Ovis aries: one gene and its partner. The main gene of each other region encodes a partner of the protein of the gene in region 2 in a complex. Links are inferred from orthologs where the notes say so. Each region holds a gene or a part of one and is shown on either strand. Other genes may lie near its edges.

Region 1 (4,126 bases), on a different chromosome or scaffold from region 2:
CCTCTGGGGTGCATCCCCCTGCTCCTGGGGTCCATCCCCCAGCTCCTGGGGTCCACCCCCCGGCACCAGTGGTTCACCCACCAGCATCTGGGGTCCACCCCCCTGCTCCAGGGGTCCACCCTCCAGCCCCAGGAGTCCACCCTCCTGCTCCGGGAGTCCACCCTCCAGCCCCAGGGGTCCATCCTCCCCCATCTGCTGGTGTTCACCCCCAGGCACCAGTGGTGCACCCACCAGCTCCTGCAGTTCACCCCCAGGCTCCGGGGGTGCACCCGACTCCTGCCGTTCACCCCCAGGCTCCAGGGGTCCACCCACCAGCTCCTGGGGTCCACCCACCAGCCCCTGGGATCCACCCCCAGCCTCCTGGGGTCCACCCCCCTCCTCCTGGGGTCCATCCTCCGGCTCCTGGGGTCCATCCTCAGCCACCTGGGGTGCACCCCTCAAATCCTGGGGTGCACCCCCCAACGCCCATGCCCCCGATGCTGAGGCCTCCACTGCCCTCCGAAGGCCCTGGGAACATTCCTCCCCCTCCCCCCACCAACTGAAAAGCCACCCCCATCCTAGCAAGTCTGGTTTGGTTTTCCTGGGTTTCGCCCTCAGAGTAGAGTTCTTTTGTACTGGGCTGGGTGTCCTCAGAGCTCATTAAAGAGTCTGCTGACCCTGAACTGGACTGCTGTGTTAACCTGTGGGCGGTCAGCTTGCTGTGGGTGAACACACGTGACTGCTTTCCACCACCATAGGGGGTGTCAGGGTCCCACCTGGACCACAGGGGGTGGCCCCTGCTGTCTCTGCAAGGACAGACCCTGTGGGCCAGCAGAATGTGGGGTGGTTCTCTGGGAAGACAGCAGAGCGAAGAAGGCTGCTCACTCTCCTTGGGGGTCTCTGTGGGCCTCAGAGGTAGGGTGAGCGAGCACGTGGGGTCACTGGGGGACAGACCTGCCTACCCGATGTGAAGCGTCATCCCCCTTGGGGCTGGCACCTGAATCCTCCTGGGGCAGGGGCTCCACACCTTGCCCTCCAACACCCCCAGGTTGTTGATAGTCTGACTGTCTGGGGCATGCACTCCTGCTCACATTCCTGCTCTGGGGAGGGGAAAGATTTGTCAAGGACAGTCTGACAAATGGGTCACAGGCCACACACACTGTATCACTGCTCAGGAGATAGACAGGCAGGTTGGAACAGAGGGGGCTTTGAGAAGGCCACAGGCCTCCCAGGCTCGCAGCAGGCACCAGTCTCCAAGGTCATGTCCCAGGAGGAGATAGGGACTGCCCTGTACCACAAACAGCCCTGCTCCCCTTATAAAGTAGGGCAGCGCAGCCCCTGGAAGCTCCCAGGATGCCCGGTCCATCTCTCTCTCTGGCCCTGGTGCTGTCGGCCATGGGGGCTCTGCTGAGGCCAGGGACCCCCAGGGAAGAGGTCTCCAATACCTCAGCCTCGCCCAGGGAGCAGGCCACAGGCAGCGGGACACTCATCTTTCAGCAAGGCTGGGACTGGCCACTCCCCAGTCTCTGGCTGCCAGGCAGCCCTCAGGACCCCCTGTGCCTGGTGACCCTGCATGGGAGTGGCAACGGGAGCAGGGCCCCCCTGCGGGTGGTGGGGTCCCTGAGCGGCTATGAGCAGGCCTTCCTGGAGGCTGTGCGGCGCACCCACTGGGGCCTGAGTGACTTGACCACCTTCGCTGTGTGCCCCGCTGGTGACGGGCAGCCTGTGCTGCCCCACCTGCAGCGGCTGCAGGCATGGCTGGGGGAGCCCGGGGGTCGGTGGCTGGTGGTCCTGCACCTGGAGGAAGGTATGTGTTGTGTCGGGGCTGGGGTGGGAGGCCAGGCTCTAGTGCCCTCCTCCCAAGAGCAGAGGACTGCAGAGCCCCCAGCCCAGACCCCTCCCCAGTCTCAGGAAGTGGAGGCTAATGGCCAGAGAGGTGGGTCACTGTATCTTTGCTTGTTTGGGGCCAGAAGTTCTCCAGCTCCCAGCCACCCCTCTCCCCATGCAGTGCCTGGCAGAGGGGGATGTGGGGGCTAACACCTTGTTCACCTACCTGGGAGCTACACAGTGGGGGATGGAGGAGGGAGGCAGGTCAGTGCAGCCTGATGGTCCAGCAGAGGAGTGCCTCTCCCTCCACACTGGGTAGCAAGAGGTTCCTGTTCCAAGGGATCGCTGTCCTCAGACCCACTACCAGGACTCCCCCAGGAGCTCTCCAGGCCTAGAGCCCCCAAGGGCTGGGGAAACACAGGTGGCAGCCCCACTGCCCACCCTATCCATCACTTCTAGGCCACTCCTGTCCCAGAGAAGCCAGGAGCCAGCGTCAAACCTCTCACCAGGTTCCCCCAGGCTTTGGTTGGCGTGGGGTCTCCTATGGAGGGGACAGGCTTAGGGGAGGTGCTCAGGCTTCGGTGGCTCAGGTGCCTCCCTTCTTCCTTTGTCCTGGCCGCAGTGACGTGGGAGCCGACACCCTTGCTGAGGTTCCAGGAGCCTCCACCTGGAGGAGCCAGCCCCCCAGAGCTGGCGCTGCTGGTGTTGTACCCAGGGCCTGGCCTGGAGGTCACTGTCACCGGGGCTGGGCTACCAGGCACCCAGGTACCAGGGAGTGGAATGTGGCTCTCTCAGGCCCCCCAGGCCCCCCCACAGAGCAAGGGAGGGATTATGGGTTTGTGTTTGTGTTGTTTTTAACTTGGCCTCACAGAAAGGCCACAAGTGTCCAGGCTAGACCTTGAGGGGATGTTAAGGGCAACAGGCAGAGCAGGGTTGGCATCCATGCCCTTCCCCCAACCTGGCTGAACTCCCCGTGTCTGCCTGCAGAGCCTCTGCCTGACCGCAGACTCGGACTTCCTGGCCTTGGTCGTGGACCCTCCGGAGGGGGCCTGGCGCCGGCCTGGGCTAGCCCTGACCCTGCAGCGCCGTGGAAATGGTAGGCCTTGCCTCGACAGGGACCCTACTGGGTGGCTGCCCTCGACCCGCAGACCCCAGCCCATCCCCGGCCGCTGAACCGCACGGCACACGCGCCTTCCCTCTCAGGTGAGCCCCTGAGCACCGCCCAGCTGCAGGCGCTGCTGTTCGGTGCAGACTCCCGCTGCTTCACACGAAAAACCCCGGCCCTGTTGCTCTTGCTGTCGGCGCGGTCGTCGGCACCGATGCCCGCGCACGGTCGGCTGGACTTGGTGCCCTTCCCACAGCCCAGGTGCGCGCAGGCTCGGACCTGGGGATGCGGGGAGTGTGGACGCCGCAGCCTTGCGCCCTCCCGACCCCCGACTCTGCTGTCCAGGCCTTCCCCAGAGCCAGAGGAGGCACCGCCCAGCGCCGATCCCTTCCTGGAGACTCTCACGCGCCTGGTGCGCGCGCTGCGGGGACCCCCGGCCCGGAGCTCGCCACCGCGACTGGCCTTGGACCCCGGCGCACTGGCTGGTTTCCCGCAGGGCCAGGTCAACCTGTCGGACCCCACGGCCCTGGAGCGCCTGCTGGACGGCGAGGAGCCGCTGCTGCTGCTGCTGCCGCCAACAGCAGCCACCACCGGGGTCCCCGCAACGCCGCAAGGTCCCAAGTCCCCTCTGTGGGCCGCGGGACTAGCGCGCCGTGTGGCTGCCGAGCTTCAGGCAGCAGCTGCCGAGCTGCGCGCCCTCCCTGGGCTGCCTCCTGCCGCCCCTCCGCTGCTGGCGCGCCTGCTGGCACTGTGCCCTGGAAACCCAGATGGCCCCGGCGGCCCGCTGCGCGCTCTGCTGCTACTCAAAGCGCTGCAGGGCCTGCGCGCTGAGTGGCGCGGGCGGGAGCGGAGCGGCTCTGCACGGGCGCAGCGCAGCACCGGAGCCGCGGCTGCAGACGGGCCGTGCGCTCTGCGTGAGCTGAGCGTAGACCTGCGGGCCGAGCGCTCGGTGCTCATCCCCGAGACATACCAGGCCAACAACTGCCAGGGCGCCTGCGGCTGGCCTCAGTCGGACCGCAACCCACGCTACGGCAACCACGTGGTGCTGCTGCTGAAGATGCAGGCCCGCGGCGCCGCCCTGGCGCGCCCGCCCTGCTGTGTGCCCACAGCCTACACAGGCAAGCTCCTCATCAGCCTGTCCGAGGAGCGCATCAGTGCGCACCACGTCCCGAACATGGTGGCCACCGAGTGCGGCTGCCGGTGACCTCCCGCTGT
Region 2 (3,097 bases):
TTAGCAGCAGCAGCAGGATATAGTGGAGGACAGAGGAGCCTGGCATGCTGCAGTCCATGGAGTCACAGAGAGTCAGACACAATCTAGCGACTGAACAACAACAAACACAGGTTCTACATAAATGCATATTTACACAGACGTCCAGGTAGGTTGAGGATTTCTGGAAAAAGGGCCTTGCTGAACCATGAAGTGGCAGGCACTCAGCTGCAGCCTACTGAGGAGAATGGCAGACGGGAGGAGTGGAGAGATGGTCTTCCAGGCAGCAAGGTGAGCAGTCCTGCGCACAGCCCTCAGGGAAGGGGTGGGCCTCCTCAGGAGAGGCCAGGGCAGCCAGGCGCTTCTGTACACACTCAGCTGTTAGCCGCGCTTCAGGGTCTGCATCCCAGCAGTCCTCCAGGAGCTCTCTCAGGCCTCCAGGGTCCTGGGAAGAATGACCGGGAGGCAGGCTTTACTTCAGGACCCTGAGTGGCCCCAGCTTTAAAAGGCATCCTTGATGGCCCAGGTCTCAACACTCCTCTACTGTTCCTTCCTGGAGCCTCCTTCCTCCCCTTCACCCAAATCACGCCTTTCATTTCCTCTCTTATGAGAAAAGTTCTCTCCAAAGAGTCCACCTTTTCCTTTGAGATGCTAGTTCAGACTCATTAATGGTTTAACTGTTCTTTTCTCTCAGGCAACCAGGGTCTTCTGCAAACAATACCCGGGCCTTTGTTACCAAACCCAACAGACAGTTGTGCAGTGGAAACCAGATCAGGTAGCAGGGGAAGGGGCCTCCTGTAAGGAAACTTTTCCGAAGAAACCCTGAAATTTCACTATTCAGGCACTGCTTTAACCCTTATCCCTAGATCTGGCTTTAATTGGGTCATGACAGAAACACAGAGGTGTAAGACAGAATGAGGAAATTATTGGATTAAATATTGGGCTTCAGGGGACTTCCCTGGTGGTCCGGTAGTTCAGAATCCAAATTGCTATCCAAGGGACATAGGCTTGATTCCTGGTGGGGGAATTAAGATGCTACATGCCTGAGAATCTAAGCGCAGAAGCCACATCTACTAAGCCTGTGTGCTCCGGAGCCCAAGAAACACAGCTACAGAGTCTGTGTGCCCCAGTGAAAGACCTCGCATGACGCAACAAAGATCCCATGTGCCACAACTACGACCCGATGCAGCCAAATAAATAATAGATAATTTTTTAATCTATTCTTCCCTGGTGGTACAGTGGTTAAGAATCCACCTGCCAATGCAAGGGACACAGGTTTGATCCCTGCTCCAGGAAGACTCCACATGGCATGGAGCAAATAAGCCCATGCATCACAACTAGGGAAATCCGCGGGCCCAGAGCCTGTGTTCCTCAACAAGAGAAGCCACCGCCACGAGCAGCCCACGCACCACAACTAGAGAAAGCCCAAGCGCCCCAGTGAAGACCCAGCATACACAAAAATAACAAATAAATAAACACTTTTTAAAAAATGTTGAAAAACAAATATTGGGCTCCAGTGTACAAGGAAAGCAGCCATCTTGGGGGCAGAGCTCAGACCAGAAGCAAAGCCAAGGAGGGCTTCCTGGAGGAAGGAACTGAGGAACAAGGCAAACTGATGATGGAGAGAAGAGGGATGGACAGGGCAAACCTGAGCAAGAGGAAGGTGCGTGTCTCAGGAACGGGGTATGTGAGGCTTACAGTGGAAAGGGAAGAACTGGAGTATAGAGCAAGTTTGCCCAGCTCCAGCTGACCATGAGCCAGGAGCGGTGGGAGCTGAGAAGGGATAGGAACAGGTAGGCTGTCCTGATGCATAGGTCCCTGAAGCCCGTGTCGAGACTGTCCAGGTCCCAAGCCCACCAGCCCACACCCTCTTACTGTGGTAAAGCAGCACCAGGTAGATGGAACGTGAGGGCGCCTCCTCTCCTCCACTGCCAAGGTCCACAGCTCACAGGTGGTGGGGGCGCTGCCCAGTTCTGCCTCATAGGCCAGTTGGAAGGGTGGTGGTCTGCTGTCTGGGAAAAGGCACATGAAGCTAGGTGTCAGGTAGCCCAAGGGGTGCCTTCTTGTAGAAAGATCAAGAGGGAGAAGGGTAGAGCTTCCTGGGTCAGGAGGTAGGTGAGTATAGAATGGGCAGGTGGGGCACGGGGGTGGGGGGCGGGGAGGGGGCCTCTGTCACACCCAGCCTCACCAGGTCGCAAATCTGGGCAGCGACTCATAATCTCCCACAAGAGCAGAGCCAGAGAGTAGACATCAGCTCGCCGCAGGGCCGTGCCCCAGTCCTGAAGGTCCAGAGTCTTGTCCAAGAGCTCCGGTGCCATGTACCGCTGGGTGCCAGCCTGGACGGCAGGGATCATCTCCATGGCAACCCTCACCGCAACACTGGTCCGCGCAAGCCCCCGTACACTATCGGTGCTGCTGCACTGTCGCTGCTTCGTCATCAGCAGCACCACCACCATCCTGGGTCTCACCCTCCTCCAGAGTACTGACCTCCATGATGGCAGCCGGGCCTCGGGGTTGACTAGGGGCCCAGGTTGGGGGCTGGGCGAGGCCAGGGAGCACCAAGGCGAGGCCCAGATCTCCAATGGCACATGACCCATCGTCCCGAATGAGCACATTCTGGCTGCTCAGATCTCGGTGGGCGATACCTGGTTTATACTGGCCTGTGGGAGAAGCCAGGCTGAAGGGGCACAGATCTTCTTCCTTTGTCTTTTTGACCCAATCCTTCCCCTCCAAGCTAAAGGGAAAATCAGAAACAGCAGCATGGCTCCTGACTCCCATGGCTTCCCGCCCCCAGCTCACCCACCATCCTGCCAACGTTCCTCATGGAGAAACGCCAGGCCCTGCGCCAGGGACAGTGCCATCCGCAGGGAACTGCCCCAGTCACTGGTGTGCTGGGTCAAGTAGTGGCACAGGGAGCCCTGAGGAGAAGCAGAGAGAAGAGGGGGACACACAAAGCTGGAGGAGGCTGATTCACCCCAGGGAGCAGAGATCAATTGTCAGACTTCCCTCCGCGTCTCCCAGCAGACTTACGCACGACACACCCAGAGCAAGGCAGTAGGCAATGCAGGAGTGAGGGTGTACACCACTCAGATTGACAGGAAAAAATAGTAGCTCTAGTTTA

What was found. The genes of interacting proteins can lie anywhere in the genome.
Region 1: the proteins of AMHR2 (region 2) and AMH are in contact, whole or in part, in a crystal structure (PDB 7L0J), measured with the Homo sapiens proteins. The link is inferred for Ovis aries from reciprocal best matches to the Homo sapiens genes AMHR2 and AMH. Residues at the interface, in NP_065434.1 of Homo sapiens: Gly31, Val32, Arg33, Gly34, Ser35, Thr36, Thr38, Leu39, Phe62, Ile64, Glu75, Met76, Arg80, Asp81, Ser82, Glu84, Pro85, Ser95, Arg97, Ala98, Pro100, Ser101, Leu106, Thr108; in NP_000470.3 of Homo sapiens: Leu471, Arg472, Glu474, Val477, Leu478, Ile479, Pro480, Glu481, Thr482, Tyr483, Gln484, Lys534, Leu535, Ile537, Leu539, Glu542, Arg543, Ile544, Ser545, Ala546.

Annotation. Positions count from the first base shown.
Region 1 is NC_056058.1:19,191,509-19,195,634, forward strand, and holds the start of AMH (muellerian-inhibiting factor precursor), read left to right. Parts: upstream 1-1,322; 5' UTR 1,323-1,332; coding exon 1,333-1,786; intron 1,787-2,428; coding exon 2,429-2,571; intron 2,572-2,793; coding exon 2,794-2,902; intron 2,903-3,009; coding exon 3,010-3,172; intron 3,173-3,256; coding exon 3,257-4,115; 3' UTR 4,116-4,126. Other genes in the region: SF3A2 (splicing factor 3A subunit 2), read left to right, coding at 1-542. UniProt on the Homo sapiens protein: Plays an important role in several reproductive functions. Induces Muellerian duct regression during male fetal sexual differentiation. Also plays a role in Leydig cell differentiation and function.
Region 2 is NC_056056.1:133,077,847-133,080,943, forward strand, and holds part of AMHR2 (anti-Muellerian hormone type-2 receptor), read right to left. Parts: intron 2,895-3,097; coding exon 2,780-2,894; intron 2,637-2,779; coding exon 2,464-2,636; intron 2,313-2,463; coding exon 2,165-2,312; intron 1,989-2,164; coding exon 1,852-1,988; intron 422-1,851; coding exon 212-421; 3' UTR 1-211. UniProt on the Homo sapiens protein: On ligand binding, forms a receptor complex consisting of two type II and two type I transmembrane serine/threonine kinases.